4 linked regions of the Diceros bicornis minor genome follow. The main gene of each other region encodes a partner of the protein of the gene in region 2 in a complex. Links are inferred from orthologs where the notes say so. Each region holds a gene or a part of one and is shown on either strand. Other genes may lie near its edges.

The links. The genes of interacting proteins can lie anywhere in the genome.
Region 1: MAP3K20 (region 2) and MAP2K3 share a complex: the UniProt entries of both Homo sapiens proteins name them as parts of the signaling complex. The link is inferred for Diceros bicornis minor from reciprocal best matches to the Homo sapiens genes MAP3K20 and MAP2K3.
Region 3: MAP3K20 (region 2) and AKAP13 share a complex: the UniProt entries of both Homo sapiens proteins name them as parts of the signaling complex. The link is inferred for Diceros bicornis minor from reciprocal best matches to the Homo sapiens genes MAP3K20 and AKAP13.
Region 4: MAP3K20 (region 2) and PKN1 share a complex: the UniProt entries of both Homo sapiens proteins name them as parts of the signaling complex. The link is inferred for Diceros bicornis minor from reciprocal best matches to the Homo sapiens genes MAP3K20 and PKN1.

Annotation. Positions count from the first base shown.
Region 1 is NC_080757.1:209,333-216,427, forward strand, and holds the start of MAP2K3 (dual specificity mitogen-activated protein kinase kinase 3), read right to left. Parts: upstream 3,006-7,095; 5' UTR 2,896-3,005; coding exon 2,847-2,895; intron 1-2,846. UniProt on the Homo sapiens protein: Dual specificity kinase. Is activated by cytokines and environmental stress in vivo. Catalyzes the concomitant phosphorylation of a threonine and a tyrosine residue in the MAP kinase p38.
Region 2 is NC_080749.1:54,163,080-54,171,068, forward strand, and holds the start of MAP3K20 (mitogen-activated protein kinase kinase kinase 20), read left to right. Parts: upstream 1-4,977; 5' UTR 4,978-5,073; exon of another isoform or gene 5,074-5,268; intron 5,269-7,989. UniProt on the Homo sapiens protein: Stress-activated component of a protein kinase signal transduction cascade that promotes programmed cell death in response to various stress, such as ribosomal stress, osmotic shock and ionizing radiation.
Region 3 is NC_080744.1:89,550,762-89,557,758, forward strand, and holds the start of AKAP13 (A-kinase anchor protein 13), read left to right. Parts: upstream 1-3,992; 5' UTR 3,993-4,192; intron 4,193-6,997. UniProt on the Homo sapiens protein: Scaffold protein that plays an important role in assembling signaling complexes downstream of several types of G protein-coupled receptors.
Region 4 is NC_080769.1:3,430,180-3,438,136, forward strand, and holds the start of PKN1 (serine/threonine-protein kinase N1), read right to left. Parts: upstream 3,006-7,957; 5' UTR 2,991-3,005; coding exon 2,775-2,990; intron 1,792-2,774; exon of another isoform or gene 1,686-1,791; coding exon of another isoform or gene 1,665-1,685; intron 1,197-1,664; exon of another isoform or gene 692-1,196; coding exon of another isoform or gene 635-691; intron 1-634. UniProt on the Homo sapiens protein: PKC-related serine/threonine-protein kinase involved in various processes such as regulation of the intermediate filaments of the actin cytoskeleton, cell migration, tumor cell invasion and transcription regulation.

The DNA.
Region 1 (7,095 bases), on a different chromosome or scaffold from region 2:
GACGGCATGTGGGCGAGGAGGCCGGGGAAACCCGCCGGGCTCTGGGGCCTGCGGCCTTGTGCACTCACGGAAAACTCCACGGGCCCATGGCCCCGGACGGGACGGGCAGGGCCCCTGCTGCCAGGCAGGAAGCTCAAAGGTAAAGTGCCTTAAGGTCAGGTGCCAACCACGCCCGGCTTTGTTCAAATTCCTCTGAGAAGGCGGAGAGAGCACGAGGCCGGGGCCCAGGCCAGGGTGGGGAGGACAAAGATGAGCCTTGGCTCTGTGGACTCGGTCCCACCACTGCCTCTGTCTGACCTCGGTTTTGTCATCTGTCAAATGGGTCAGACCGAAACAAGTATGACATGTGCCAACCGTACAGGGCTGTGCACCCAAGAGGCATCACCTCTGGCTCAGTCCATCCTCCAGGTCCGGCAGGGCCTGGAGGGACACTGACTGGACCGAGGGGTAATAGGGTGCAGGGGAGTGTCCCATCCATCCAACTCAAGTACCCAGCCCAGGAATGGGACACAGAGGAGCACTGAGGAGACCTCCGGAGACACACAGCCCTGGATGGAACCCTAGCTCCATCTGTCACAGCTGTGTGACCTCAGGCACGGCACTGAACGCCTCTGAGCCAGTTTCCTCATCGTAAATGGGGCTGCAAGGAATAATCAGGAGAGCGCACGACACATGGAAAACAACTTGGTAAGTGAGAGGTCTTGGGATTCTGGGCAAGGGGACATTGTGGTTCCCCACCACATCCTTCCGCAGACCACAAAGAGGCTGAGAGGGTCCCTGGGTCCTGGCGAGGCCCCTGACCCTCCATCCAGCCCACCCAATTTCCAGTTTGTGGGTCATGTGTTACCTGGACCCACAAACTGGAAATTCATCTTGGTCCTCTCTTTGCAGAGAGGCTCAGAAAGGGCAATGCCAGGACTCAAGTCACAGAGCATACGGGGATCAAGCAGCGTCTCCCCAAAGTGCTTTTTCCCTTCACATCCATGATCACCCTCCCTTCACAACCCTGCAACTTGAACTTTTATTTGGATGAAGCATTCCCTGCCTGGAAGAGCTAAAAGGGCCTTCAAAAACAAACACTGCTTCCAACCTCTTCCTTCCGTCCATGAAAACACTGTGGCCCAGAGAGGCTGAGGGACCTGCCCTAAGTCCCACAGCACTGACCGAGCCACGAGTAAACCCCAAGCTGGAGAGGAGGAGAAGTGTCTGATTTCACAGTTCTGCACAGTGGAGAAGCTTGCGACTTCCCGGTTCCCAGGCTCCACGAGGTCTGCGCAGGACAAGTCCCTCCCCAGCCACCTCCCCCCGTGAGTGCCTCCCAAGTTACTCACGGTGGTTGGGCAATGGTCAGGGATCCGGCCTCCCAGGCCTCCCACTTATGTAAGACATAATTATCCTGCCCACCCGCCGGCCGGCTGGGCTCTGGCCCACAGCCCACAGCAGGAGCAGGGAAGGATCCACACCCTCCCCCGGCCCCCACATGCCCTCCCACTGCCTGGGCGCCTCTAGAGAAAGAGAGGTAGGGACAACCCCTGATTAGGGGCCCACTAAGTGCCAGCTGTTACCTTTCTCCCCCTCACTCTACAGCTGCAACCCAAACAGAGGCAAGACCTTGACCATGCATGGCTGAGGCCTTTCCAGTAAGGAAAATGGTAACAAGAACAAGATGCCTGGTACCTGTCCCTTCCTAAGTACCTACTATGCGCCAGGAGCCATGCTGAGCTCTTCATCTCACCACCCTCGCTTGCTTACAACTCCTTAGTATTCACTACCTCACATCATACTCCAGAAGTCCACAGAAAAGAGGCGTGATTACCCCCACTTCACAGACAGGGAGACTGAGGCCACAGACACTCGTGTCGCTGGGGTGAGGCAGCAGCAGGCTGAGAGAGCCAGGAGGCAGCCCATTCATTGCAGCTATGTCCGGTGTGGAAATCGCTCCCACAACCCAGCCTGCTGTGACTCCGGCAGGCCAAAAACATCCTTTCCTCTTCCTGCAAAAAATCCCCCTCTCACCCTCCAAGTCTCGGCCTCCCCCCTCTGCATGACAAATCCTGCTGCCGCAGCCGCCACCTCACAGAAATTTCCAGGAAGGCCGGCTACTTGGAGAAGACAAGAGCAAGCCCATTGCCCAGCCAGCACCCGGCCTGGCAGTTGGCCCAGGACCCATGGGCAACAGACACAGGCCTGGTAGCAATCAACCCTGGAGACACTGGGGCACAGGAGGGGGTGAGCTCCCCAAGTGCAGAGGGAGGCTTGCAAGTGAAGACAGGAGAAGCTGATGGAGGGGGGCTGTGCATTAGGGTGGGTGAGAGCCAAGAGAGGCCGGGGGCTGCAGGATGGGGTGCAGGCGGGGCCAGGATGGGGCAATGTGGGGCCTGCAAGGATGCAGAGTTGGGGAAGAACAGGGAGTTCTGAGCTGGAGTGTAGCCAGGGCACCCACATGGGGGGGTTACAGTGGGATCCCCAGCCACGGAGCATCACTGGGGCCCGGATGGGGAGTCCGTTAAATCCAGCCCCAGGAGTGAAGGGCGCCGGGTGCAGGATCAGAGTGAATCCCACCTGGGTCCAGCTGAGGGGCCCAGACTGGGAGAGTTCCTGTCCAGGGTGCAGTTAAGGCCTAAATGAGGAGGTCAGAGAGAGGTTCCCGACCCGGAGCGGGGAGATCAGAACGAGATCCTCGCCTGGGTGCGGGCCTGGGTGCAGTCCCCAGGCCTAAGCCGCGGGTCCAGGTGAGGTCCTCGGCTGGGAGCGGCCCCCGAATCGGAAGAGGTTCTGGGCCGCGGCGCTGCCCGGGACCACCCGGAGGCCGGGGTTCGCGGCGCGGGCCCGGCCGGCGCGCCTACCTTTGGCCGCGGGCAGGCCGGCGGGCTGGCTCGAGGCGGGCGACTCCATGGTGCGGGCGGGTCCGCGGCGGCGGGGGCTACTCCAGAGGGCGGCGGGCTCGGCCCGGGCGGAGCGAGCTCATGGCCGCGGGCAGACGGCCCGGGCACGGCGGGCAGAGGCAGCGGAGACGCGCTCCCACGGGCGGCGCCGGGCCGGACTGGGCAGCGCCGCGGGGCCCGGCCGGACGGCGCCGACGCAGGCCCCGCCTCCGGGCGCCCATTGGTCCGCCAGTCTCCGGGCCCGTCCCCCGCCTATCAGACGCCGCCCTGGCCATGCCCGTCAAGCGCGAGCTCCGCCCCCGCGGGCCCGGATCCGGCTCCTCCCGCTGCCTGTCAAGCCCGCCTCCACCCGGGAAACCGGGGCCGGCCGGGCTCCGCCCCTCCCGGGAGAGCCAGGTGCCCCCCGGCCTCCAGCCCCGTGCCCCGCGCCCTCCCTTCGGCCCCGCGCCCCTGCCCGGCCCCGCGCCCCGCGCTCCGCGCCCCTGCCCGGCCCTGCGCCCTGCCTTCGACCCCGCGCCGCGCGCCCCTGTCCGGCCCCCACCCCCGCGCCCTTGTCCGGCCCCCACCCCCGCGCCCTGCGTCAGGCACTGCGCCCCGCGCCCCTGCCCGATCCCGCGCCCCGCCTTCGGCCCCGCGCCCCGCGCCTCCGCGCCCCCCGGTCCCCGGCGCGCAGAGCCCGCGCGAGCCTCGCCGGTGCCTCATCCGGAGAAGCCACAGATCCTCTCGGGTGGCCCCAGGGCCACCCACTGCGAGAAGTGTGTGCAGACGGGGCCTGCGGAGGGGTTAAAAGGGCCCCGCCGGGGTGAGACCTGGGTTCAGACCCCGACTGTCTGCTTGCTAGCGGGATGACCTTGGGCAGGTCAGGTAGCCCCCGGGCCCCCGTTTTCGCCCCTGTAAGAGTGACCATCATAGCCCTACAGCCTGGCGCGCCGGTGAGAAGGGGCCCGGGCTTTCGCGGACACTCGGTAAACGTTTGTTGACTGAATGTCGCAAAGGGCTTAGCACAATGCCCGGCTGTGCGCTTCAGCAAACAGCCAGCGAGCGCCCACCCAGTGTCGGCGCCGCGCTGCGGGTGGTGATACAGTTGTGAACGTGGGGTACCCCGGGAGAAGTCAGTAAAGGTAGTTTTAATGGTTGTGTCGTCACTGCCCTCCGTTCTACCCATGGGGAAACTGAGTCTCGGAGGGAGGAAAATGGTATTTCAATGCATTTTACTCCACTTGGCAAGCCTTGACCAGGGTCTCATCCCGGCTCCCTCCGTAGGTTCTCTCCTTCCCGCGTGGGGTCTCAGTCGGCTCATCCATACAGTGGCCAGACCGGGCCAGGCCTCCAGGGATTTCAGGAGCTACTGACCAATCTGGCAGTGAGACCAGGTGACTCGGTTGGAAAGCCACGGGCTAGTGAGGACAGGAAGCGCCTGGCAAAGGTCAAGGGGTCAGTCCCTCACCTCCAGCAGGCATGAGTGTGTCCTACTCCAGTGCTCACCTGTGGGAAGCAGGTGCAACCACCTGCCAGAAATGCTTAGAGCAGGGGGATGACCTCTGCTTGTGTGTTTATAAAACAGGGGGTTTCCCCGCGGGACCTGCCCACACAGTGATGGGGAGGGCCAGATGAGATAAGAGGGAGACCTCATAATTACCATTATTCTCTTCCTGCATCCCCCGCTCACCCTTTCCAGGCAGTGGGCAGGAAGTCATGAGCTGTGGACTCAGGTATGGGTTCCAGTGCCAACTCTGCCACTGCACAGGGTCACTGAGCAGCTCCCTGCCCGGGTTACTCACCTGGCCCATGGGGACAATGAGGCCTCTCTGAAACTGGTTCATGAGGTCAGGCTTGGCAGTGGCTGGGTCAGGGCCTGGCACTCACTAGGTGCCCAGGAAATGTTTGTAAACACACTGTGGGCCACCTCCTACAGGAAGCCCTTGCAACCTTACCGCTCCTGGGTGTCTGGAGTGGCCCAGAGCACTCTGTACAAAATGGGCCGTGTGACCTTAGGCCAGTCATTTCACCCCAAGACCTGCTGCCCGTCCTTGTGTCAAATGGGCACCCGGCAGCAGCTGCCTCTCTACCAGGACTGCAGGCCTGATCCGGCGAGTGGTCTGGGTTCCGGCCCCCGCCAACCTCGGGGACTTCTGCTCCTCCCATGCTCCCCTCGTCCTCTCTGCTCCTCACTATGTTCAAGAGTCTTAGTGCTGCCCATTGGACATACCAATACTGGTCCTGCCTCAGGGCCTTTGCCCTTGCTGTTCCCTCTGCCTGGAACATCTTCCCCCGCCACCACCGTGATTTCTGGGGCTGGTTCCCTTTCATCCTGAAGGTCTCCTCTTCAGTGAACTCCCCTCTGAGGCCTTTCCGTCAAGCCCCAAATCCATTCTAACTCTCTGCACAGCACTGGTGCCGCCGGTGCCTTTCCTGTTGACTCTGCTTTTAACCCAGCTCTCCCTCTAGACCGGGGGCCCTTCCGGGGCAGGAATCTTGCCAACTCCTTCTCTGCTGCATTCCTGATGCACAGCCCAGGGCCTGGCACATAGTAGGCGCCTAGTAAATATTTGAGGAATGAACAAAGGGAGGACGGAAAGCATGCCACAGACATCTACGAAATGACTCTGGTTCCAGGCCAGCCTCCCAGGCGCCCGCCTGACTCAGACGAGGCCCTCCAGTCGGAGGAGCTGACGGTTAGTCAGGGAGCCTGACAGACAGCCCGAGAGTCACACAACTCCGTGTGGGGTGCTATAAATAGATGCATGAGCAAGAGTCCGAGGAGGGTGCCGGACTCCACCTGGGTGAGGTCAGGGAAGGCTCCTCAGAGGAGGTGACTTTGAGACTGGGCCTTTAAGGACCAGTAGGAGTTGTCAGGCAGAGAAGCAAGCACGAGTCTCCTAGAGAGTGTGGGAGGTGCGCAAGGGGCCCCGCGTGAGGCCGGGCTGGGGGGCAGAGCTGCACTGCTGCGGGCGGGGAGCACCCCCGCAGCGCCTGTTTCTCTTCCCAGCTGGCTGCAGCAACATCTGCCGGCCTCCCTCTGCCTCTAAGGAGCACTGAGAAGCTGGGGACCTCCGCGACCCTCGGAAACCAGAGGGCGTCTGACACGGCCACAACAGGCTGCCTCCAACCCTGACTCCCGGGAGAAAAGTCCCAAACAGGCCCCTCTGTACACTCGGAAACTGCGAGGCACAGCGTGGAAAGGGGCTGGCCAAAGTCGGGATGTGAGTGTGAGCTGGGGCGACAGAGGGCTGGAGAGAGAAGACGGTCTGAGCCCAGGACGGGGGAAGTCCATTCATTCATTCATTCGTTCAACAACCACTCATTGAGCACTCACTGTGTGCCTTGAGCTGAGGGCACAGAGTTGAACAGGACTTGCCCTCGGGAGGTGACGCCTGGTGGGCGAGCCAGACGAGCAGAATGCCTGAGTCAGATTACAGACCGTCAGAGGATCAGTGCATGGGGACAAGGAGGGTCGCAGCAGGGAGTGCGTCTGGAGGTGGGGGCCGTAATTTTAAAGAGGAAGGTCGGGAGAGGCCTCCCTGGAAGGTGACGTGTAACCCAGATCTGAGGAGGTGAAGGAGTCATGAGGATTCTGGGGGAAGAGCATGCCCAGCAGAGGGAACAGCATGTGCAAGGGCCCCGAGGTGGATGGTTTGTAGGTGAGTAAGAGCACAGCTGGAGTAGTGAGAGGTAAGTGGGCCCCTGTTCTCACCTACATGCGCCCCTTGAACCTGCTTGCTCTCACACCCTTGCATGGTCCCACCCCCACGTGCCCCCTTTCACATCTGTGTAAGTCCACATACCCCCAAATAACACGCACACACTCATGAACACAGCAGGGTGCACAAGCACGTGCACACATGTGCACAGGGAGTGGCCACGCCGTCTCAGGCATGTTCACAGCCACGCTCCATGTGCACAGCTGTGCCCACACCGCCCTGTCACCGCAGGCGCCCCCATGGCTTGCTGGCCCACAGCGCCCTCTGGTGACCAGTCCTGCTGGGCGTGAGCTGGTCACTCTGTGGGGCCCTGGGCAGTGCCAGCAACCCTCTCTGCTCCTCCTCCTCCTCCCTGTGCTCCCTGCCCCCAGCTCCTCCACACTGCAGCCAGAGAGAACCTTCCAAAACAGGGCTGGCGAAGCTCCAAACCGGCCAAGGCTCCCCAAGTGAGGAACTTCCCCAGATGTCTCCCCAGTCCAGCCACTCCCAGCCCAAAATTTCCTCCCTGA
Region 2 (7,989 bases):
AAAATAATTTTTAGTGTAGAATATTTCTTATATCAGTGGAAGACTATCCATTGAGAAAAAAGACTTAATTTTCTTTTATAAATAGCTGTGGATTAGAGTACAACAATAGTTCTAATTCTGCTTTTGCTGTGCATTTAAAGCCAAGATGATGACTGTATTGAAAAAGAGGGAAGAGAAAATCAATCGATTATTGCTTCAATGGAGCTCACAACTGCTGATTAGAGAACACAAATGGATTGCATAATAGTAAAATAACTATAAACTGGGTGTGGATTTAAGCCTATGTTAAGACCATTCTTAACTGCATTGTATCTTTAGAAAACATGCATTGAAATTACAACAGCAAATTAAATCTATTCGACCGCAAAATTTAATACATAAGAAATAGCATTTATTAATGATCTGGAAGAGGGAGTAAATACCATGTTAATGAAATTTGCAGATGATACTAAATTGGAAGGTGTTACAAACAACAATGAGGACAGGGGCTTAATACAAATGGACCTTAAAAAGTTAAGGAAAAGCCAATGATGGTGTAAAAAAAAAAAAAACCAAGTAGAACTTATAAAAATATTCACTGGAAAAATTTCAACTTGAGAAAGAATAATACAAAAGAAGTGTGGATGGAAAGTGACTTTGAAATTTGATCAGGATTTTCTGATTATAATAAGCTGGTTAATCCACTCTTGAGAGGTCCTGGGCCAGCTACTGGGAAGTAGTCATTTCTTTACTCTTCTATCCTCTCTCTAGGCAGACCAGAAGCTCTAAATCACGTAGTCCTAGACTTTTTGGAGGCAAGCAAAATGAAGAAAACAGAGTCCAGGCGTATCAGTAAAAAACAAAACAAAAACACAAATGCATGTTGAAGAGAAAGGAATGACTAGTGAAGACACATGATTGGTATCATCTAATGGTGTTTGTAATGAAAAGGAGCCATGAAAAATCTACAGATACCTGAAAATTTTGTATAAAAGATGGTTGATGTCATTTGATTGTTTATAAGCAATTATTAAATGGAACTGAAAATTACCTTATGAAATATAATTCTTGCTTTTCCAGATATCAACAAATAGAAGAGTTCTCCTTCCTAATTGCATATGCCTAAATCCAAGAAATTGGTAATATTCTGAAAGTCATACGGGATGATATCATTGGCCTTCTTAGAACGTCTGGAAGTTTGGGTCTGAGAATTTGGTTTATCCAGGAAAACAGCAAGATATGTCTCCTGGAAGCTCTGGAGACTCTAAGAAACTAAGTAACGTATCTATAATGTTTTACCAGCTCACCTGAGTCTAAGATACAGTTATCTGGGAATGAAAACTCATCTGTATTTATTGGATCTGTTGAAGTAGAAATCTCAATTTCAGAAACTTGACTATTTTCTTAACATTTTATGTTTCCCTTAGATTTCAGTAATGTTCTCTTCGAATAGAATCTGCCACTGCCACACCTGTGATGGAGGAAGAGTAGAGTATTCTTGGTGGCCAGATGAGAATAAGAACTGTTGTAGGAAAATCCCAAGAAGGAGTTGGAGGTGCTGGGAGGAGGGCAGCATGAGGTCCATGAAGATGGGAGGTAATATTGGGGAGGAAAATTTGGATTGGATAATGGAGGGTTTTGAATGTGTCCTAAGGATCTTGGACTTTATTTAGTAGGCAGTGAGGTCTCAATAAAGGTTTTTGAGTTTTGATATGAGGCTTTCATACGTAATATGTTAGATATTCTTTCCAAATACATGTCATTCCATAATAAGATACGCATGCCATCTGAAGGTCGTCATTCAAGTGGTAGAAATGTTGAACAGGGCAGACTAGAGGAGAGAGCCCAGCAACATACCATTAGAAACCCTTCTCTAAGGGAACAATGCACCCAAAGTGTACAGCAGCATTTTGGGGGTACACCTTCTAGGCTGTTTTCAATCTAACAGCAATTTACTGTATTGTATTGTCATCAGTTAAAATCTCTTTCTGAAAGAGAAAGACAAACACTGTATGATCTCACTCATATGTGGAATATAAACCAACACATGGACAGAGAAAACTGGACTGTGGTTACCAGGGCAGTGGGGGTCGGGGGTGGGCACAAGGGGTGAAGGGAGTCATATATGTGGTGATGGACAAACAAAAATGTACAACCCAAAATTTCACAATGTTAGAAACCATTAAAACATCAATTAAAAAAAATCTCTTTCTGATTTATAAAGTCATCATGAGAAACTTTGTCATGTTTCACTGACAGAAGTCCTCACTGTCCTCCATGATCCCAGAAGAGAAAACTGTTTCTCTGGTAGGTCTTGATTTCAATGAATCCATGCTGGTTCCCAGTGTTCACATTCAAAGCAATTACCAGCTCTTCATATAATAATGCCATTTAATAATAACTCTAGGATCTTGCCAGAAAATCATATCAATTATCGTATCTTTTGGGAAGGAGCATATGAGTTTCTTGCAATAAAGTAGGCCAACGGCAAACAGGAGAGATGGCAAGGCTCAATGCTGAAAGGGTATGAAAAACTCCGTTATGATTCACTCAAATTTTAGATCTAGGATTTTAAAGAAGACTAGCACAGCAAACAATAGCAAAGAGTGTGCAGTGCATAGGACTCAAGACTCAGGTAAGTAGGCTGTTATCACACACATGACCATCAGGCAGTATGGTCCCAACTAAGTGACAGCTGCTCAGGGATAGGGCTGGTACCGCATCCCAGATTTTCTGATGTCTGGCGTTGTGCAGGAGGTAAAGCACTAAACTTTGTGTAAAGCTGGTTAATTCTTAGCTATGATCCAGACACAGACTACTCACAATATCAGAGACGGAGAACTGAGATGGCTAGAGCAAATGCTCCTGGGTGCCAGCTTGCATCATAGTTTTTATCACCATATGAGAAGGGAAGGATACTCAGAATGCTCTCTTCCTTTTAAGTTGCCTTTCCTTCTGTCCTTAATAGAATTTATGACTGCATTTCTCTGATCCACTAATAGCTGACAGTTCCAGAATTTCAATTTAAGAGAGCTTAGGGACAAACAGTCTGATTGAATGGGGGGCTAGACCTTTTCTTTACCCTGTATTTGCTATAACTTTAAGTTTTAACTTACATTGCATGTTTATTTTGGAGGGTGTTCTTGGATGAGAGGGTGCTAAGGACTCCAAAGCCACCCTGCTAAGAGTACATCTATTTTTAGCATGGAGACATTTGAAGTAAAGGAATAGGAAAGTTTGATAAGAGAGGTTTGACTAGGTCTCTTTCGCTATTGCGATTTACATTTGTAAACCTATACAAGACTAAGGCTAGAAGCCAGGTCCTCTGACTCCCAGTCCAGTGTCCTTTCCATCACAATCTAGTGCCTTTGAAGGTGACGCGAAATGACTGGAGTTGCCTTATGCCTGGGTCTATGCTAAAGAGCCTTAGTTATCCTTTTAATGGCTAAATGCTTTTTTGTGTGTGTGTGTGAGGAAGATTAGCCCTGAGCGAACATCCGTGCCCATCTTCCTCTACTTTATATGCCAGGCGGCCACAGCATGGCTTGACAAGCAGTGCGTCTGTGTGCGCCCAGGATCCGAACCTGCAAACCCTGGCCTCCGAAAGCCGTGTGCGCGCACTTAACCGCTATGCCCCCGGGGCCGGCCCCCATGGTTAAATGGTTTTTAGAATTATTCGAGTACCTCTATCAGGAATTTCTTTTTAGCATGACAGTTTTCATCAATCCTAATTTCTCAGTTCCCAAAATAGAATCCACCAATGCTAAAATTCCTAGTCCTTATCAAAGGGAAAATTCAGTAATTAATCTAAATCACAGACTCAGTTGTTTTTATTTAACCTATCTTCACCCATCCCTCCACTTTCATATCTTTAACTATATGAATGATTTACAGATTTTATATTTCCCTCCTGACCTCTTTTCTGAATCTCAGTTTCACATTTCAACTGCTGCATCTCTACCTGTTTCTCCTCCCATGACCTCCAACTCAACAGGAAGCCAGCTTCTTCTTAACATACCCCTATTTCTGTCAATGACACCATCGTTCTTCCAGTCACCCAGGTCTGAAATCTTGGCATCATCTCTGACTTGTTCTCTTCCACATTTAGTGGGTCACCAATTTCTGTGGCCTCTTCCTGAAACATGTCTCTGAATTCTATTTCTTCTTTTCTAATTCCATTTTGTACACTCTAACACAAGTCCTCACAATCCCATAACCGGGTAGTGAACAATATCTGCCACTCATGCTGCTTCCCAGTTTTGCCCTCACAACCCATCCTGCAACCGCTGTGGACTGCTCTCTCTCTAAATAACCATGAGAACAAAAACACAGACACCTATTTCACCCCTTTGATTCTAACTTTCCACAGTTCCCCAGTGTCCCCAGATGATAAAATTCACACTCAAAAGCCCTGGATAATACTGCCCATACTCTTGTAACCTCATCTCATTTTTCCTCCACAGACCCATCCTCCCCAATCAACAATTACTCTTCTTGCCAGTGCCCATTCCCACCTTTTGCTCACACCTGGAATGGATTCTAGTCTCCTCGTCTGAATTCGGCTTTGTTCACGTTACCAACCAGGGCAACAGACCATGACCCTGCCTCAAAATTCCAGAGGTATCTACTGATGGTTCCATTGAGGCAGCCTTCAGCCCTGTCTCCCCAGAAATAGCTTTACACTCTGTCACCTTCCCAACTAGATAAACTCCCATAGGGCATGCAGCAGCCTCCCATCTCTTTGTATCCTCAGTGCCTAATTCACAGTAAATGTCGATAAGGATGAGTTGACGGAATAGGTGTTGTTAAAAAGATGTGAAGGTACAAAGGGCAGAGGCGTACCGCCCTCTCCCCGTGCCCTCCGCGAGAGGGCAGGTGCCGTTTGAGGACAGGCGCGCCCCGCTGAGCGCCCCGGGCGGCGGCCGGCAGCCTGGGTGGGTTCCAGGGCGCTGGGGCGCACGGTGCCCCTCGGGGGCGCAGGCCGGGAGGCCCGGGCGCCTTGCCCTCGCCCGCTGGCCGGCAGGTCTGCGCTGCGGCGTGGCCCGCGGGCGTGCTGGGCGCGGGCAGGGAGGCCCAGCCGTTCCGCGCTCGGAGGTAGGTGGTGCTGTTGCCGTGACTGTCTTCCTCATTGGCGCGGGGCGGAGAGGCGGAATGTTCAACTCCTGACTCGGCGGAAGCGTGGGAGCCGCGCGGGCCGCCGTCCTCTCGACCCCCGGCCGCCGTCCCTGCCCTCGCCGCGCGTGGGGCCTCGGCGCCCCGGCTGCTGCTCGCGCCCGGCCCGAGAGCCAGGTAAGGGGCCAGGCCCGAGGCCGCGGAGGGAGGGGAGGGAGGGAGGGAGGCCCGCCGCGCTCGCGAGTCGTCCGGCGTCTCGGGACCGAGGCCCTGCCGGTGTCGGGGCCCGGGAGCCCGGCCGGCCTGCGGGAGGGAGCCCCACCGGGCACCCCCCTCGACCCGGGGCCCGTCGGGCGGCGGCGGCCGGAGCGAGCGTTCCGGGCTCCCGCGGAGTTCCGCGCCGGACCTCAGCCGCGGCCCGGCCCGGAGCGGCTCGGGGCAGTTGGGGCCAGTCCCACGCAGAGTTGGCGCCCGGAAGAGCGGGGCGCAGCCCGGCGCGTCTCCGGCTTCTGGGCCCCGGGCGCGCGGCGCGGATGTGGGCGCCTCCCGGGCCGCGCGGCGCCGCTTCCCCTCCCCGAACGCGGGGCCCCCGCCGGCCGAGCGCGCGACCCCCGGCGGGCAGCGCCGGAGCGCCGGCCTCGCAGTGGGCCCCGCGCACCTCTCGGGAGGCGCAACGCGAGTCTTCCAAATCAGGGCAGGGTGCCGGCCGCTTCCCAGCAGAGGTCTGTGCTTGCGAGTGGAAACCACTAACTTCTGCTTTCCACCGGGCCGGGAGCCGGGTCTCCCGTCCAGAGCGGCCGCTGCCTGCCCTGCCTGGGGCAGCGCGGAGCCCGCGCCCTCGAGCGTCCCCCTGTTCCTTCCCCGGGAGCCCAGGGGGTCCCCTTTGCCGACCGTGTGGCGTCCCCCGGTGCGCGGGCTCGGAGCCCTGCACCAGGCCCGGAGGTGAACGCTGAGGCCGCCGCCACGCCTCGCTTGCTCCTGACGGCTTGCGGAAAAACTTTACTGCAGAACTGGCGAGACGATATCGAATTGCCTAAAAAGATGGGGCAATCCTTGTTAGATTGTTGAAAATGTGTGTTTCTGATGCGCCTCGAAATCTTGCATAAGCACTGTTTATGGGGAACTTAATTACTATTTTTGTTAGTTTCTTTAGTAGTGAAAGCAGTACTGTGTAGTGGCCCGTTCCAATGATGTTACAGTAAGCAGCTCTCTCGTTAATAATGGTGTATTGGAATCGACTTACAGAATTAATTCGAGGATATTTGAGCTAAGATGGTTGTTAAAGTATAGTCATATTTTAACCCTAAAGCCATTTTAGGAGAGCCTTCTTGCTTTCCTGACCACCTCAGGGGAAGTGAACAGCCAGGATTCAGTGGATCCAAACCTACAAGCACGTTATCAAGACGAAAACAAGTGATTCAAGACAGTTAATGTCTTCTTTGTAGTAGGCCCATCTCCACAGTGAAATTTGATGTCGTTTTTTGATTTTCAAAAAAAAATGTGACGGCTGCATTTTAATTATGGTTTTAGTCATTTGAAGAGCCATTGTTTTAAATTCTTGCTACAATAGTGAGAGATTTGAGAGATTGTAAATGAGTATGAATTTAGTTTGTTTGGAAAGAGAGAATTAAGATAAAGAAAAATGGTCTTTCAGAGCAATGTGTACTGTTTATTTTAAGCTTTCACAGTTTAATTCCTACTATAACTTTTTTGAGATTATTTTGGGAGTTTTTTTAAGTGGAAAATATTATTGTTTAAATAAAACGTTTTAGTGGTAATAATTCCAGAGTAAATGACCAAAATGCAATGGCAAGGACATTTTTTCTTGTCTAGGAAAGCAAATAGATGATTGATTACTTTTTCTTATTCTTTAGGGAACACGTAAGGACACATTAAAAAGAGAGAGAGGGAAATATCCAAATATTAAGCACGAGGACTTGGATCTAAAAATGGATGGTCAAAGATCTTGGGAACTAAGGGACCTTCTTGCCAAATAAGGAGACTTGGCAAGTTGCACTGTACATTTTAAGTTAGCACAAGAGTGAGTGTTATTGGCAATATATTGGCTGTGTGCCTATCTGGAATGAGCAGCAAAACTGACTTTGATAGGGTTACAAAATTATAAACAGGAGTTATGAGGGGAGTGGAGTGAATAATGTAGTCATCAAAGAAAACACTAGAGAAATTACAATGATATTTTGTGAAAAGAGGTCAACATAGAGTGAAGCTATTAGTGTGGAGTGAAAGAGAAAAATGGACAGTTGATTTTAGAAATTGATAGATTCAGAGAAAAGAGAGGAGAGAATCAATGATTTTTTTTTGAAAACCAGAAAAACAGTGTTTGTGGTGATATAGTACTTCTTGGAATAAGATAGCCTTATATCTGTATCCAGAGATGTTGGAAATAAAAATCAATTTGGATCATTTGTTTTCCATTTTATTCTACCCAGGACAGATTGACAGGGAGGGTGTCTTGTCTATCTAAATGTAATAGGAACAGCTAAGGCACCTTTTGGTCTTACTGCCAGGAAGATTTAGGTTACTTCTTTTGAGGCTGTTAACCTTGCCCCACTACACGCAAATAAGCAGAGATCCAGCTGTGACCAGAAAACTGTACCTGTTAAGGAAAGAGAACTATAAATTCGAAAGCTTAGATTGGTTTGACTGATACATGGGTGCTTTTGTGTCCGACCCTCCTACAGACAGCTGAAGCATCGATTATGCCCTAATAGCAGTTAAATAATCCCAACACACAAGAAGATTCTGTGAGAACAAAGCAGCCACGCATTTGACACCTTAACCCCATGTCGCAATTGAGGAAATTAAAGCCTCGAATTGAACTTTAGGTGGATGATAAGCAATCTAGTGATTACTGTAATAAGAAAAGGATCTGTTTAA
Region 3 (6,997 bases), on a different chromosome or scaffold from region 2:
GAGATATGGTTCGGGAACTACGGCCCCAGGCACATGTTGTGGTTTGGAACGAACTCCCAGATGAAGACTCTGTATCAGAATCAATCAACTTGACCTGTGCTGTCCAGTACAGCAGCCACCAGCCACACGGGGCTTTTGAGCATTTGAAATGTGGCTAGTCTGAATTGAGATGTGCTGTATAAGTGTAAAATACACACTGGATTATTTTGAAGACTTAGTATGACAAAAAGAATGTAAAATACCTTATTAATAAATTTTTATATGGATTACATGTTGAAATTATAATGTTTGGGATATATTTGGTGAAATAAAATATCATTAAAATTAATTTTACCTGTTTCTTTTTACTTTTTGAATGTGGCTACTAGAAAATTTTAAATCACATGTGTGGCTCACCATATATTTCTATTGGACAGCGCTGGGCTTGACATTGAGGAAGGCAGGTAATCTCTGCCACACAGGAAGTGAAACTTTATCTCTGGACTGCAAAACCTCCTACCTGGAGCCAGGTTTCTCTTAGAGATTCCCCTGTCCCCCATCCTCATCCTCATCTCCTACTTAAATTCAGCCTAAGCACACAGTACCAGCGTGATCTTTCTAGGATGGAAATCTGTCCTCATCATTGTTCCATTGCTTACAATCTGTTGAGGGTTTCTCTTGGCCTTTCAGAATAAAGACGGAACTCCTTAGCAGGGCAGCATCACCTGGCCTCCGCTGCCTTCCTTCAGCTTCACCGCCTACCCCTTCCCCCTCCAGTTTCTTGTGTGTGCTGTGTTTCTGATACCTCCATGTCTTTGAATTTGCTCTTCCTTTTTCTGGGAATGTCCTCAGCTACCCGCACACACACACACAAGCCTCCTGCACTACCCCACTGTTCTTTCCTTGGTTGATTGGCTTCCAAGACATAGCTCATCTGTCACATCCTCCTGGATGTCTCCCTTGAACTTTCACCCTTCAAGTAGAAGTTCCTCTCTCTCTGCCCCCTGCCACCCTGCATTTGCCTCTGTAAGGGCATTTACACATCCGATTTCTTGCTGGTTTGCTCGCCTGTTTCCCTCACTTGGCTGTGAGTTCCTTAAAGGCAAGAACCTTGCTCTTCATCTCTCCAATCCCAGGACCAAGCCTAAGACCTGGCACAAAGTAAACTCTCAATAGCTGTTTGCTAATTGAATTGAGAAGCCAGTCAGGGAATTGACCGGAAATAATCAGCTCGTGGGTGGTTGTATTTAAATAGAACTCAAGTGATGGAAACCCCCACTCTGACAGCCTTATTGGCTCACATGATGGAAAAGTCTATGGGTCGTTCTAGCTTCAGGCATTGCTAGATTCAGCAGTTTGATCAATGTCACTAAGACATTATTTTTCATCATCTCTTTCTTTTCCATCGTGCTGCCTCCATTCGAAGAGACTCTTTCCTCATGGCGACAAGGGCTGGCAAGCTTATCCTTCCAGGTTCTAGTTGAGAAAGACAAAGTCAGCTATCCCGACAGTTCAAACTGAGGGTAGAATTTACTCCTATTGTCCCCGATTGGCCTGTTTGGGGTCATGTGCCCCACCTTGAATCAATCATTATTGCCTGTGGATGGGATGCATTGATTGGCTCAGGTGTGATCACATGCTGAAGCCATGGAATTGGGGTCCTGGTGGAGTCCGATTCATCCCAAACAGGGGGCTGAAAGTGGAAGTTCCCTCAAAAAAATGTCAGGGTACTATTTGTACCACAAAAACAGTAAAATGTCCTCTGCTGCAAAAGGAGAGCCCTGGGATAAGTCTGTTCAGTGCTTCTTCTTTTACAAAAGTGGACATTTTAGGGACCATGGGTCTCAAGAGAAATTCATATTCTTACAACTGTGTTGATTTTGTTTTTTCCTTGCTTTGGCATTTCCAGGGACTCTGTAAAATGGAGTTTGGGCTTGCTATATTCTTAGGTATTATAACCTGTGTAAATCAATTAGAGAGCTATAAGTCAACTGGAGAGATAATTCAGAGATAGTTCAGAGATACAAAATCTTACCACTACTTGGTAAGGCCCTGGTATATTTCCTGGCTTGTAAACTTACTCATGGAAAGTGAGAGAGTTACTAAACCCAAAGTCTCTTTCTGGTGAAATAGGGCACACTGGGTAGAGATATTTGGTGTTCCTTGGAAGAACAAATCTTCAGTATCAGGCACACTCAGCTTGAGGGTACCTCACAGCAGCTGCTTCTGTACAAATTACTTCATGCAAACTTTTATTGAGTTCCTACCCTTCCTACAGGTACTATAATAGGTGCAGGAGAGAGAGGGGTGAACAAAACAGACTTCAGCTTACATTATAGAGGGTGAGATACCCAATAATCACACACAAGATACTTTCAGATTGGGATAAATGCTACGAAAAAATTTCAGTAATATGAATGAGAGGGACTAGATGATAGTGGGTTATTTTAGATAGGCCAGCCAAAGACCTTTTCTCTGAGGAGGGACATTAGAGCTGTTATCTGAATGATGAGAAAGTGCCAGCCATGCAGATAACTACTTAGGATTTCCCAAAGAAGACGGAGGGCTCAGCTGTCTGGGGAATTTAGAGCAGACCCTTGCTCCTCAAAGTGAGGTCCCAGACTATCACCTGGGAGCTTGTTGGAAATGCAGAATCCCAGATCCCACCCCAGACCTACTGAATCAGAATCCACATTTAACAAAATCTCCTAGATGATTTGTAGGCACAGTAAAGTTTGAAAAGTGCTGGACTCTGGACCCTTTTTGCAGCCTACTGGAAAGGTGTAAATTCTGCTGAGGCAGGGAGCAGGCAATGGTGTTGTCAGCAGTCACTAGAAAGATGACATGGTAACTAATTTGCTGCTGCCTCTGTAACAGACCAGCCAGGCTCTAAGAGAAGACCATGGATTATCACACATTAGGCTTAAGTGATTTTTAGGTTAGCCCCCTTGCTTTTCAGGAGACTGAAGTTCTTTGAGGAGGAGTGACCTGAGCATAGTGGGCTCCTTGGTGGCAGAGTCAGGACTAGGATGTAGGAGTTGCCTCTCTTTGTGTCACCTTTTAAATATTGATCAGGACAGGTTAGAGTGATGTGGAGGAGAGTGAGCAGCATGACGAGGTGATTGGGAAATAATGTCACATGAAGCACCAGGAATGTTTGCCCTTGGTTTTTTCACCTGTGAGGGTGAATTAAGAAAATATATGTGAGAACCAGATCCACTTACAGGAAAGCATATTTTAGCTCTAGGCTAACTAACGAAGTAATGATTTGACATGATAGGCATTTTCCCCCTAATACGCATTAAAATAAACACACAATTATCAAAATGAAGAAGTTTCTTCGTGTACCAGTGGACCACATTTTGTTTCTCAAAAGCCACCAGATGAGTTCTGAAGTCCTTTGCAACTGGAAGAATGGACGATTTTGTGGCGATCAAGCAGCCAAAAGTTCACAGAACGCACTGTCACAATCCTGATGCCGCCATAGACCCACCCATCCACCCATCTAAAACACTTGTTGAACACCTAGCAATGACTCTCCTAGGCCCTGGACACAGTGAAGACTAAACTCCACTTTCTGATTCCAACCGGAGGGAAATAGAAGAGTAAATGATTTCGGTATGTGTGGTATAAAGTGCTACAGCTCAGGTAAGCACCGGCACACAGAGGAAGGGCGGTTTCCGGACATAGGGCGGAAAGGAGAGCGTGGGTGGGCATTTCCCAGAGCAGCCTCTGCCAGCCACCCCACTTTGATCACTTTGCCGCCGCGCAGCAGCGGCGGCGGTCAACCTCAACCTTCCTTAGCAACATGAACGCTCCGCCCAGCTGCCTTCCCATTGGTCTCACGGAGCTTGATGGGCAGCTCTACCGTGCAATCCCAGCTCGTGGTCCTTGGCTCCGCGCTTACTCATGGGAGGGCTCGTAGGCGTTACCGCCCTCCCCAGGTGCCCCGCCCAGCCCCGAGCTGCTTGCGGCGCATGCGCTGGCGGGCTGGGGCTGTGTGCAGGGCCAGCGCGGAGCCGGAGCAGCCGCGGTGGAGCGCCTGGGCTTCGCCGAGACCGCCGTGCCCGCTCTTCGCTTCTGCTCCCGCAGCTACGAGCCGCCGCCGCCGCCGCCGCCGCCGCCGGGGTAGCGGCCGCCTATTGTCTTTCTCTGCGGCGAAGGTGCGGAGCTGTTCCAGCTCAGCCCGCGGGGGAGCCCCGGGCGCCGCACGGTGAGAGCGCAACTTAGTTGGCGGAGTTGGGGGAAGTTTTGTGGTTTGAGGAGGGGTCGCGGGCGGAGAGGACGGGCCCTTCCCCCTAAGGCCGCTCCTCGGGGCGGGGGCCCGGAGGGGGGCGGGGTCCGGGATGAATGGGCGGCCGCGGGGCGCCCGCCGGCTCTGCGGCCCCCTCCTCCCTCCGCGGCCACCCTCACGCATTGTCTGCTCCCGGGCCCCGCGCGCCTCCCGGCTCCCGCAGCCCAACTTGGGGGCCGCCGCCACGCCGGGGTGGGGGGCGCGGCCGCCTTGCACGGCGTGAGTGCCCCTTCAGGCGCCCCCGGGCCACGCGAGGCCTGAACCCTCGGCCCCAGGCTTCCCTGGTCGGCTCCTCCGTGGGCCCCTCCCGTCCGACGGAGTCCGCGAACAAGTGTTGCGGACGCGAGGGAGCGGCTCCCCGGGGCCGGCGGGGACCGTAAACACGCCGGGCGCCCGCCTTCGGGGGCGCGGCCGGGGACCCGCGCGGGTCGGAGACGTGCAGCCGGAGGGGACCCGCTCCGGGGCCGTGCAGTGGGCTCAACTCTACTGAGTTCAAGTGCAGCCGTACTTGGAGACCAAACAAAACATTCTTTTTGTAAATACGGCTTACTGACACTTTTGTTTTTTTTTGCAAAGTCAACTAGTATGTGAAGAGTTTTAAAAGAATATGGGGAAAACCCTCAAAATTTTTTTTTCATCTGAAGAAAGAATAGACAGGTTTTTGGATACAGTTTTTACAGAAAAATGACTCCATCACATTAAGTTTCTAGATCTTTCTGTGCACTCAGGAATTCACAATGAAAGTTGGATTGAGCAATATTTTGGTGTTCATTCTCAGCTTTTACACTCTTCGGTGAAGTTATTTTGGGAGTTTATTGCCTCAGGCGTATAGAAGTAAAGGAAAAAAATGTGTGCCTTTTTTTCTTATAACCCCCCCCCCCCTTTTATTTTCAGAAGCAGCAGCTTATACTGTTTTTCTAAACCGTTGGATTTCCCGGATCAGGACAAATGCTACCGTTTTTGAAAGATCATTTTTTGCAAGTTTGTAAAGGAGTTATGATGAGCTGAGATAAATCACTGTTACCGTTCTTGTATTCCTTCGTGGTCTCTTGGGGGTTTGCAGACTGCATTAAGTACAAGGCTTATCAAGTTTTGGGTGCATCGATTCTACTGAATTTGCTTCATTTGGCTTATGATGTGAGAATAATTCTGTTTAAATCTCCCAGATGGAAGTAGCTTAAATGTCTGTCACATTTGTAGTGGAACAAAATGACCAGAATGTGTTAATATCAGTTGTTATATTCCTTTGCCATCTGCTAAATTAAAAAGAAGAATTTGAGAAATACTGTGTGTCAATTTGCTTTGATTGATTTCTCATGCTAAGTGAGTAATGTAGAGAAGCTTTCCTGGGTTTTTCTGGTTTGGTTGGCTGCATTTTGCTTTGAAAAACCAGCTTTCTTCACCTGATGAAGCTCAAGAAGAATGTCCTTATGGCATAAGCATTGTACTTTTGAACTACAGCAACAAGGTGACTTTTAGGAGTCACAGTGCTTGCTCTCAGGGCTTTCCTTCCTGGTTGTGTGGTTGTGTGTGCCTGTGTGGGTGGATTGTGGGGAGGGAGCTTGACAGGTTGGAAGGGGTTGTCAGGGAGGGACATAATATAAACAAGTATTACTTACAACATAATGTGACAGCTAGGCCAGTTGCTTTCTTTCTCTAAGCTGTGATAGCATGTTATACATACTTTTGTTTTAGGATTTCTAACAGTTCATTTATTTGCTTGACTAACGGTAACTGTATATGTAGTATAAAGGGACTTCTCTTCTAGTCTAACTCCTTGAGGGCTGTGATGGGCCTTATTTCTTATTTAGCTTTGTACCCTCTTTGCCAGGAAGGGGTCTTAACACAGTGCAGGTGTCCAGTATGTGTTTGAGTTGGGTGAAGTGCTTTGTATTAGCTAGTGGTAGTGCACATAGAACCACTAACCCTGGGGACTTGTCCAAAATAACACTTCAGTTGCTGAAATGTGATGAAATTTAGTTTATTTCGAAAAGGATTCCTAACCTTTCTCTTATCCTGTTAATTGTTGAAAAGAAGTGAGGTTTAAATAGTGCACTGTGGATTTTGAAAACTAGTTCTGATTCAGAAATTTTCTCCGTTTTTTGGTGAAATGATTAAGAATCATTTCTGAATAAATCTGAATCTGAATAAACCTGAATAAACCCACTCACATCTCTGCCTATTCCTCTGTTGTGAAGTGAGGAGGTAGCACAGTTTAGAAGCATGTGCATTCTTTGGAGCGAGGTAAATTTGAGTTCAGATCCCCACATTGACTAGTTATGTAGCCTTGAGCAGGTCCCTTATCCTCTCAGAGCTTTGGTTTCCTACTCTGTAAGGTGTAGTAATATACTTTGCAGTATTCTTAGGAATAAGTGAAACTATGGAGGTACTTAATAGTGGGCCTAACATTAAGTAGGGCCTATTACCTGGTAGCTATACTGATAATTTGATAACACTTTTTATATGACTTAGAAAAGCATTTTTAAAAGTCTGGTGCTTCTAAGTGTAGTGGTTTAGCTGTTTCTTTCAGAAAGAAGGAATCCCTCTGAGAATTGAGTCTTAATCAATGCAAAAGTTTTTTTAAGGTGCTAGTTGCACTGAATGTTAATAGAAACAGTGGTTTTATCCTCTCAGTCGCCTGTTAGTCTTTGGGAGGGCCTTGCAGAGTGGCTTGGTTGGGTAGAACTCTGCATTTATAGTGTTGAGGAAATGGTGAGAGATGGA
Region 4 (7,957 bases), on a different chromosome or scaffold from region 2:
GGAGCAGGCTCCCCCGCCCCACCTCTGAGGGGAGGCCTGAAAATACACAGAGCAGGGAGGGAGAGAGGGAGGCCCGGCCTCCTGTGTTCTCTTCTCTTGGGTGACTCACTCCTGCCCAGAGGGCAGGGGTCACCTGAGGGCCAGCAAGGCGAACCCATGAATCAGGGGCCTAGCCCAGCCTTGGAGGATCCCTGCTCCTCCTCTCCCACCACGAAGCAGGAGACTCCAGGTCCAGAGGGCCCACCTCCCAGAATCCCCCTCTTCCCAGAGCGGCCAGGGACCTAGACCCCCACGTCCGGAGATTTCAATGCTTTGGGCGTTTCCGGAATCTGGACAGGATATCCGTTTGCTGGACACAGAACAGATAGGCACACGTCGGGACAGACAGAGGGACAGGGTAGCAGGCCCAAGCAGGCACGAGAAAAAGATGATCAGGAGGGGAGAAGAGAGCAAGCCAGAGATGGGAAAGGGGGCCAGGGTGCGGGTCCAGCCCGGCTCCAGGAATCACAGCCTCGGTCCAGGTCATGTCTCGTACCCACCAAGTGCATGCATGTGCCGGGGGAATCCAGCACAGCACCCCCCAGGGCCGAGGCAGACGCAGGGACCCCGGCCCTCACCAGCCCCAAGGTCTGACCTTGCGTGATCGGCAACACCAGATACGCCCAGCTCCTCGGCAAGGCTGGCAGGCCATCAGCAGGACTGAGGCGGGGGACAGGGGGTCACGGGGGAGACACAGAGGGGGTGGAGGCAGGTGCAGAAGGAGACGAGAACCCAGTTACATGGCAACCACACGACGGAGGGACGGTGAGGCACTATCAGGGGCACTACAGGCACAGGACACGTCTCAGACTGGGGCAATGAACCACAGAAGGTCAGAAGTCACCCTGGCCCTGCTTGTCACAGATGGGGAAGGTGAGTCCAGGGCTGTGATGTCCACGAGATGGCACAGGGAGAGCCTGGCTGGGCGGCAGGTCGGTGACAGTCACCTGTGCCTCTGTGTGTTTGTGTGTGCGTGGGGGTGACCCAGTCCTGTCACCCATGCCCAGGTAGGATGCCAGGTAGCAGAAAATCCCCAGTCTGTTGACCTGGACACTCCCCACCTGGGACAAGGTTCCACCTGGCAGCCCGGAGGATGGCCGTGTGGGTCCTCGTCCCCCGACCTAATGAGGTGACTCGGGCACTTCTGCCAACAGGTGCCAATCTGGTGGCGTCGGGACCACCGTAAAGCTCAGTCCGGAGGTGGGGGCGCTGGAGCTCTGTTGTGCGGGGGAGGGGCACGGGCCGGCGTCCTTCTCCCCTCCCGGGGCCCCGCGCCAGGCACCTGCCCCAGGTGCAGCGGCACCTGCCGGGAACCAGGACCTGGACGCCGGGGAAGGGGGCGAGTGGCGGGGCGACAGGCACGGGACGCACAGCCAGCCGCAGACACCCCAAGTCGAGCCTCCGCGCGCCCCCTCTAATTCCCAGGGAGGGGCGGAGTTTGGGGTGCGGCGGGACCTCCCGCTCCCCCCCGTGCGGACCTCCACCTGCCGCGCAGGGGGCCCCGCGGGCCCCGCCGTGCCCGCCCAGGGAGGGGGCGCCGGGCGCTCGGGAGACCCCGCCCGGGCCCGGGGTCCCGGCAGCGCGCGGGCGGGGGGCCCGGCGCGGGCGGCCGCAGGTGCGCCTACCTGCACGGCATCGCTGGCCATGTCCTCGCGCCTCCCGCCAGGGGTCCCCGCGCGGAGGGAGGGCGCAGGAGCGCGCGTGCGCCGCGCGCGGCGGGGAGGGCGGGCGCGGCTCGAGCCCCCGCGCGGCCCGCTCCGGCCTGCTCGGCTCCGGCCCCGCCTGGCCTGGCCGCCGCGTCCGCGCGCCGCGCCCTCCGGCCCCAGCGGCCGCCGGGCCCGGTCACGTGACCGCGAGGTCGGCGCCCGGGGAGGGGGCGGGGCGAGGGGGCGCGGCTCCCGGCGGCCCCCGGGGCTGCGGGGTCCCGCCTGCAGGGCCCCCCGCCCTGGCCTCTTCCTGCGTCCGCGGGGGTCCCCTGTTTGAGCGCGCGGGAACCCCGAGAGAGGAGTGAGCCACGTTAAGGCGGGGAGCGGCGGAGGCTTTGGGGCCTCCCGGGACCCCTCAAAAAGCAAAAACGACTCACCCCCCGCGTTTGCCAGTTCAGGCGTCCTGGGAAGGACGCATTCACGGCACGGGAGCTTCCCCACTGCCTGGAGACAAGCTCTGGGCAGATCGGGGTTCAAATGCCGGCGCCCCATGCCTTGGGGGAGCCCCAAACCCTACGAGCGCCTCATCTGGGAAACAGGGAGGCTTTTCCCGCCTACCCCTCGGGTGTGGATGAAAGTAAATGAGACTGCACGCAAGTGCTGAGAACACGGTAAGCGCTCGAGAGACGTCAGCTGCTGTCCTTTCTAACGTTATTGTCGTTATGAAAGGGGGTTCGCATCCCAGCTGCGTCGCTGACTCGCGGTGGGCCCTGTGGCTGAGCCGCAGTTCTCCCCGCTGTAAGATGGGGAGCAGCCTCTTCTTCGGGGCTGCTGCATGCAGGCGGCGCTCCATAAATGCAGACTCGTGCCCACGCGGAGGCGGAGGGTGGAGGCCTCCGAGGAGCTTCTCCAGGGTCTCCGGGGCGTGCAGCTGGCTCGTGGCCGACCCCGATCCCTTAGAAACGCGGGGACTGAGCCAAACCGCGGTCCCGGGGCGCAGGGCGGGGAGCGCGCCCTGGCGGCGGCGCCTGCGCACTGGCGCCCTCCAGGGACCCGGCCGCGCGCGCAGGGCTGAGGCACCTTGGTTACCTGCGGCCCTGCGCCCTTTGCGTCGTCCCAGAGACCAGGGCGCGACGTTCTCTCTTTCCCCTCTTCCTTTGGGCGACTCTTCGGAGGGGGGCGGTTAGCAGAGAAAGAGAGAGAAGAAGGGGAGGAGAAATTATGCCGATGCAGAGTCCACCCTCTTCCCACGCCTTCCGCGGCCTCCGCCGGGACCACTCTCCACCGTCGCTCGCCTGGACCCATGCAGGCGCCTCCTCCTAGGTCTTTCGGCTCCTCCCTCGATCTCGCAGTCTGCCTGCCTCACAACAGCCCAAGGGCGCCTGTGAACGCCTGAGTCAGGTCACGCCCCTCCTCTGCTCAGATGCCCCATGGCTCCCACCTTCCTCAGAGTAAAAGCCCAAGTCCTCCCCACAGCCCACAAGGCGCTGCACGATCTGTCCCCTTCACCTGCCCTGTCTCCCCACCTCCCCCCTCGCCCTTGCTCACTCCCTCCAGCCACATCAGCCTCCTGGCTGTTCCTCGAATATTTATCCACTGAATTAAATAACCCTTTGAGCTAATTCTCTCGCTCCCGATTTTTGAGCCTTTTCCTGGGGTTCAGAGAGAAGCCCCTCACCCCAATTATGGAGCCGGGATGTTAATGGCCCTTGCCCGGAGGAACATGGTACCTTCCTCTAATTCTCCAGCCCACCCATTTTACGGATGGGAGGATGTGGCAGAGGAAGGCTCCCAGGTGGCCCAGGGCCTGGGCCACCTTGTCCAGAGACTGGCCTTCTGCTGTCTGCCAGGCTCCAGGCTGCCTCCCCGGATGGAGCTGGGGAACCCTGCCAAATTCTCACTCCAACCTTCCCGCATCCGTTTACTCAGTGAATATTTATCGAGGCCCACTGGGGACTTTGGTGGCACTGGAAACAGAGTCGAGTTTGAAACTTGGAGGCCAAGGACTAATTGTACAATTGTCCAATTTCAATCAAATATGATAACTGCCCCAGCACCTCCCTGCAGCTGCGCTGGCCCCTCTCTAATCCATTCTGGGGCCTTGGAAACCCTAAAGCACAGCCCACCCCCTGCCTCTACCTGCTGGAAGACCTGACCCTGGCTCTCTGGAGCTCTTAGGAAAGACTTCCCACCCCTCACAAGCTGGTCCTGTCAGGCCTCTGCCCACCTGTCCAGCTGCATTTCCCTCTGCTCCCTTCTTCCCCATCCAGCAACGCTGGCCTTCCCTCTGTTCCTCAAGTGTTCTCACCTTACTTCCAACCACAGGGCCTTTGCACTGGCTATTCCTTGGTCTGGAATGCCCCTCCATCACATCTCTCCAAAGTTGGCCTCTTCTGATCATTTAGGTCTCTGTTTAAATGTCATGTCCTCTGAGAGACTTTCCCAGGGAATCCCTATGTTGTGTTGTATCTGGCCCATGGCCCTGTTTTTTTATTTTAAATGTCACTCCTCTCTGAAATTGCCCAGTGTCTGGCCTGTGCTCGCTCCATCTTTGTAGAATGAATGAGTGAACACAGTTTGAGGTGTCAGGAGAAAGGTATCCCAGACCCATGGAGGCCTTGAGGAGGCAGCCGCGCCCCTGTGGAGGAGGCAGAAGGGCTGGCACTGAGGTTGAGTTGTGAAGGACAAATTAGGAATTTGCAAAGTGGATAAAGACGAAAAGGGTGTCTAGTAGAAGGAACAGCAGAAGCAAAGACCTGCAGGTGGGTGAGGGAGAAGCCGGCATGTCCTGATGCCTCTGCTCTCCTCTCCCACCCCACTGCCCTCGCTCACTCCACTCGGGCCACGCGCCCTCCTCGCTGCTCCTCAAATGTGCCGATGCCATTCCCACCTCAAGGCCTTTGCACGGGCTGTTCCCTCTGCTTGCAAGGCTTCTCCTTCTCATCTTGGCATTCTCTCTTCCTTACTTCATTTCCGTCTTTGCTCAGATGTCACCTTCTTAGAGAAGTCTTCCTTGACTGCATCTCCACCTCAAACAAGCGCCCACCCCTCCCTCCCAAAGTCTACCCCTCACATAGTTTGATTTTTCTTTCTTGCAAATTTTAATAAATTTGACTCTACTATTTTTCTTTCTTGTCTGATTCCACCAGAAGGATGTCAGCTCCCTGAGGGCAGGGATCACTGTCTTGTTCACTGCTGGGTCCCCGGCTCCTAGAACAGGATCTAGCATATAGAAGGTGCTCAAGGGCCGGCCCGTGGCTCAGCGGTTAAGTGCGCGCGCTCCGCTGCTGGCGGCCCGGGTTCGGACCCCGGGCGCGCACCAACCACCACTTCTCTGGCCATGCTGAGGCCGGGTCCCACATACAGCAACTAGAAGGATGTGCAACCAGGACATACAACTGTCTACTGGGGCTTTGGGGGGAAAAAAGGAGGAGATTGGCAATAGATGTTAGCTCAGAGCCGGTCTTCCTCAGCAAAAAGAGGAGGATTAGCATGGATGTTAGCTCAGGGCTGATCCTTCTCACCAAAAAAAGAAAAAAAGAAGGTGCTCAATAGAGAGCTGCTGGATGAAGGAACTTGCTGGCGTTCTTACTGCTGATCGCCTGGAGTCGGGGCAGGCTCCAGAGGCTGTGGGTGGTGGGGCTGGAGGGGCCGGGCCCCTCCTGGAGTTCAGGCGTGACCCTGAGGACTGTGGAGCTGCTGACAGATTCTTGGCAGGGGAGGGACTGAATGAGGATTGTGCTTCTCAAAAGATAAGGAAGGCTCTTTGCAAACCAAGTCTCCCCCAGTAGGGGCCAGAGAAAGAGCTGGAAGTAGATTTCTCTGACACCAGAAGAGCTGAATGTATCAACAAGGCTAATCTCCAAAACATTGTGTTGAAGGGAGATAAAACAGCAAGTAGAAAAAATGTCACAGTTTCATACACTTTAGAGCAATTACTAAAAAACAGAAAGTGAAACTATGTATCTAGTTAGCACACCGGTCTGGAGCAGTGGGCTGGTAGTGTGCCTGGCACCCCAGCTGAGGGGGCAGGCCACCTGGGTTCCCATCCTGATGCCCAGGCACACTGACAGGGATACCCTGCGCGAGTCACTTCACTGCCCTGTGCCTCAGTTTCTTCATCTGTAAAACAGGGTGATAGTAGTGGTGCCTACCTCATAGAGTTGCTGGGAGCTTAAATGAAATAATTCTTGTAAAGCATAGAATAGGGGAGCAGTAATTGTTTGGTAGCATTATTTTTATTTAGGATGTTGTTTCTGTAGTGGGGGAGGGGAATGGGGTTGGGGAGGTGAACACAGGTGACTCCCACTTTGTAAAGTGTTATGTCTTTTATTTTTAATTATTATTTTGATGGAGATGTAACTTACACATGGTGAAGTACGCAGATCTTTTGGGGTGTGCTCCATGAACTTTTATATATGTATACACCCCTGCAGCCAGCACCCAGTCCACTCCCCCATGCATAAGTGTTGTGCCCTCTGCAACCTCCTTCTGCAGATTCTATCATCATAGATTAATTTTGTTTGTTCTTGAACTTCATACCATGTGGAATCATTTTATGATTCTTTTTTTTTTTTAATAATTTTATTTATCTTTTCCCCCAAAGCCCCAGCAGATAGCCGCATGTCATAGCTGCACCTCCCTCCAGCCGCTGTACGTGGGACACGGCCCCAGCACGGCCAGAGAAGCGGCGCGTCGGCGCGCACCCGGGACCCGACCCCGGGCCGCCAGCAGCGGAGCGCGCGCACTCAACAGCTAAGCCACGGGGCCGGCCCTTTATGATTCTTTTATGTCCAGATTCTTTCACTCAACATGTTTTGTTTTCTATTGAAATTCACATACCATAAAATTCACTTTTCTTTTTTTTTTTTCTTTTTCTGCTGAGGAAGGTTGTCCCTAAGCTAACATCCGTGCCCATCTTCCTCTATTTTGTATGTGGGGCACCGCCACAGTATGGCTTGATGAGCGGTGTGTATGTCCACGCCCAGGATCCAAACCTGCGAACCCCAGGCTGCCAAAGCGGAGAGCTCGAACTTAACTGCTACGCCACCCGGCCAGCCCCTCACTCTTTTTTGTAAGGGTGCAGTCCAGTGATTTTTAGTATCTTCACAAAGAACACGATGTTTTTGAGATCCATCTGTCATGTTGTGTGCATCAATCTTTTATTGCTTTTCCTTTCTAGTGGTGTTCCACGGTGCGGATGGATCATAGTTTCTTTACCCATTCACTTGTTGATGTACATTTGGGTTGTTTCTGGTTTGGGGCTTTTATGCATAAAGAATGTTCATTGCTTGTATCTTTTTGTGGGCAAAATGTGTTTCATCAACTATTAGATCTCTACCTAGGAGGGTTGCTTAGTCATGACGCAGGTGCCTTTAACCTAATGGGTCTCATCGAGGGCAATTTTGTCCCCTCCCGCAGGAGGGAGACTAGCAGTGTCTGGAGACATTTTTTGTTGTCATGACTGGTAGGAGGGGGGTGGGTGCTGCTGGTGTCTCGAGGCCAGGCATGCTGCTCAGCATCCTACAATGCACGGGACAGCCCCACCCCAGAGAACGAGTGGCCCACACGGCAGCAGTGCCCAGGTTGCAAAACCCGGGTTCACCTTATTGCAAACTGCCAAATCATATTCCAAAGTGATTCCTCCTGTTACATGCGCGCCAGCAGATGAGGAGAGATCTGGTTGCTCCAAGGCCTGCTTAGTCCTTGGTGCCGTCAGTCTTTTTCTTTTTAGGCATTTGGGTGGATGTGTTTAAAGTCATTTATAGCTTAAAATAATTCTGAAGTGAATCAAGCCAGTATGACAAATGTTAACATGTGTTCATCTTGGGTGGTGGATGTACTTTAGGAGGCTCTGATCTGTTCTGGATTTAAAATTGGTATATATATATATATTTTTAAATAGTAGAAGCGCCCCCTGGCCACACAGATGGTGGGTGTGCTGGGGTGTTTTCCTGTTTTCCCAGACTTCTCAACTGGACTCAACTGGCTTTGCGGTCTCCTCCATAACTCACTCAGATGATCTAATTCATCCGAGTGCGCCCCCACCTGCCTTCCTGGGGCGCCCGCCCTCTCCCCGGGGACTGGTTCTCTGCAGGCTTCCAAGTTCCCTGGCTTTGGCCTCTATCTCCACCTGCAGGGGATGTGGCCCAGTATAGTGGAGGGAGATGGCCTGGGCTGGAATCCTGCCCCCTTGGGCCTGGGACTGACCCCTGTGGACATCAGGTCACCCACCGGCAATGGAGATGCTAACGCACAGGCCTCACCCGCTC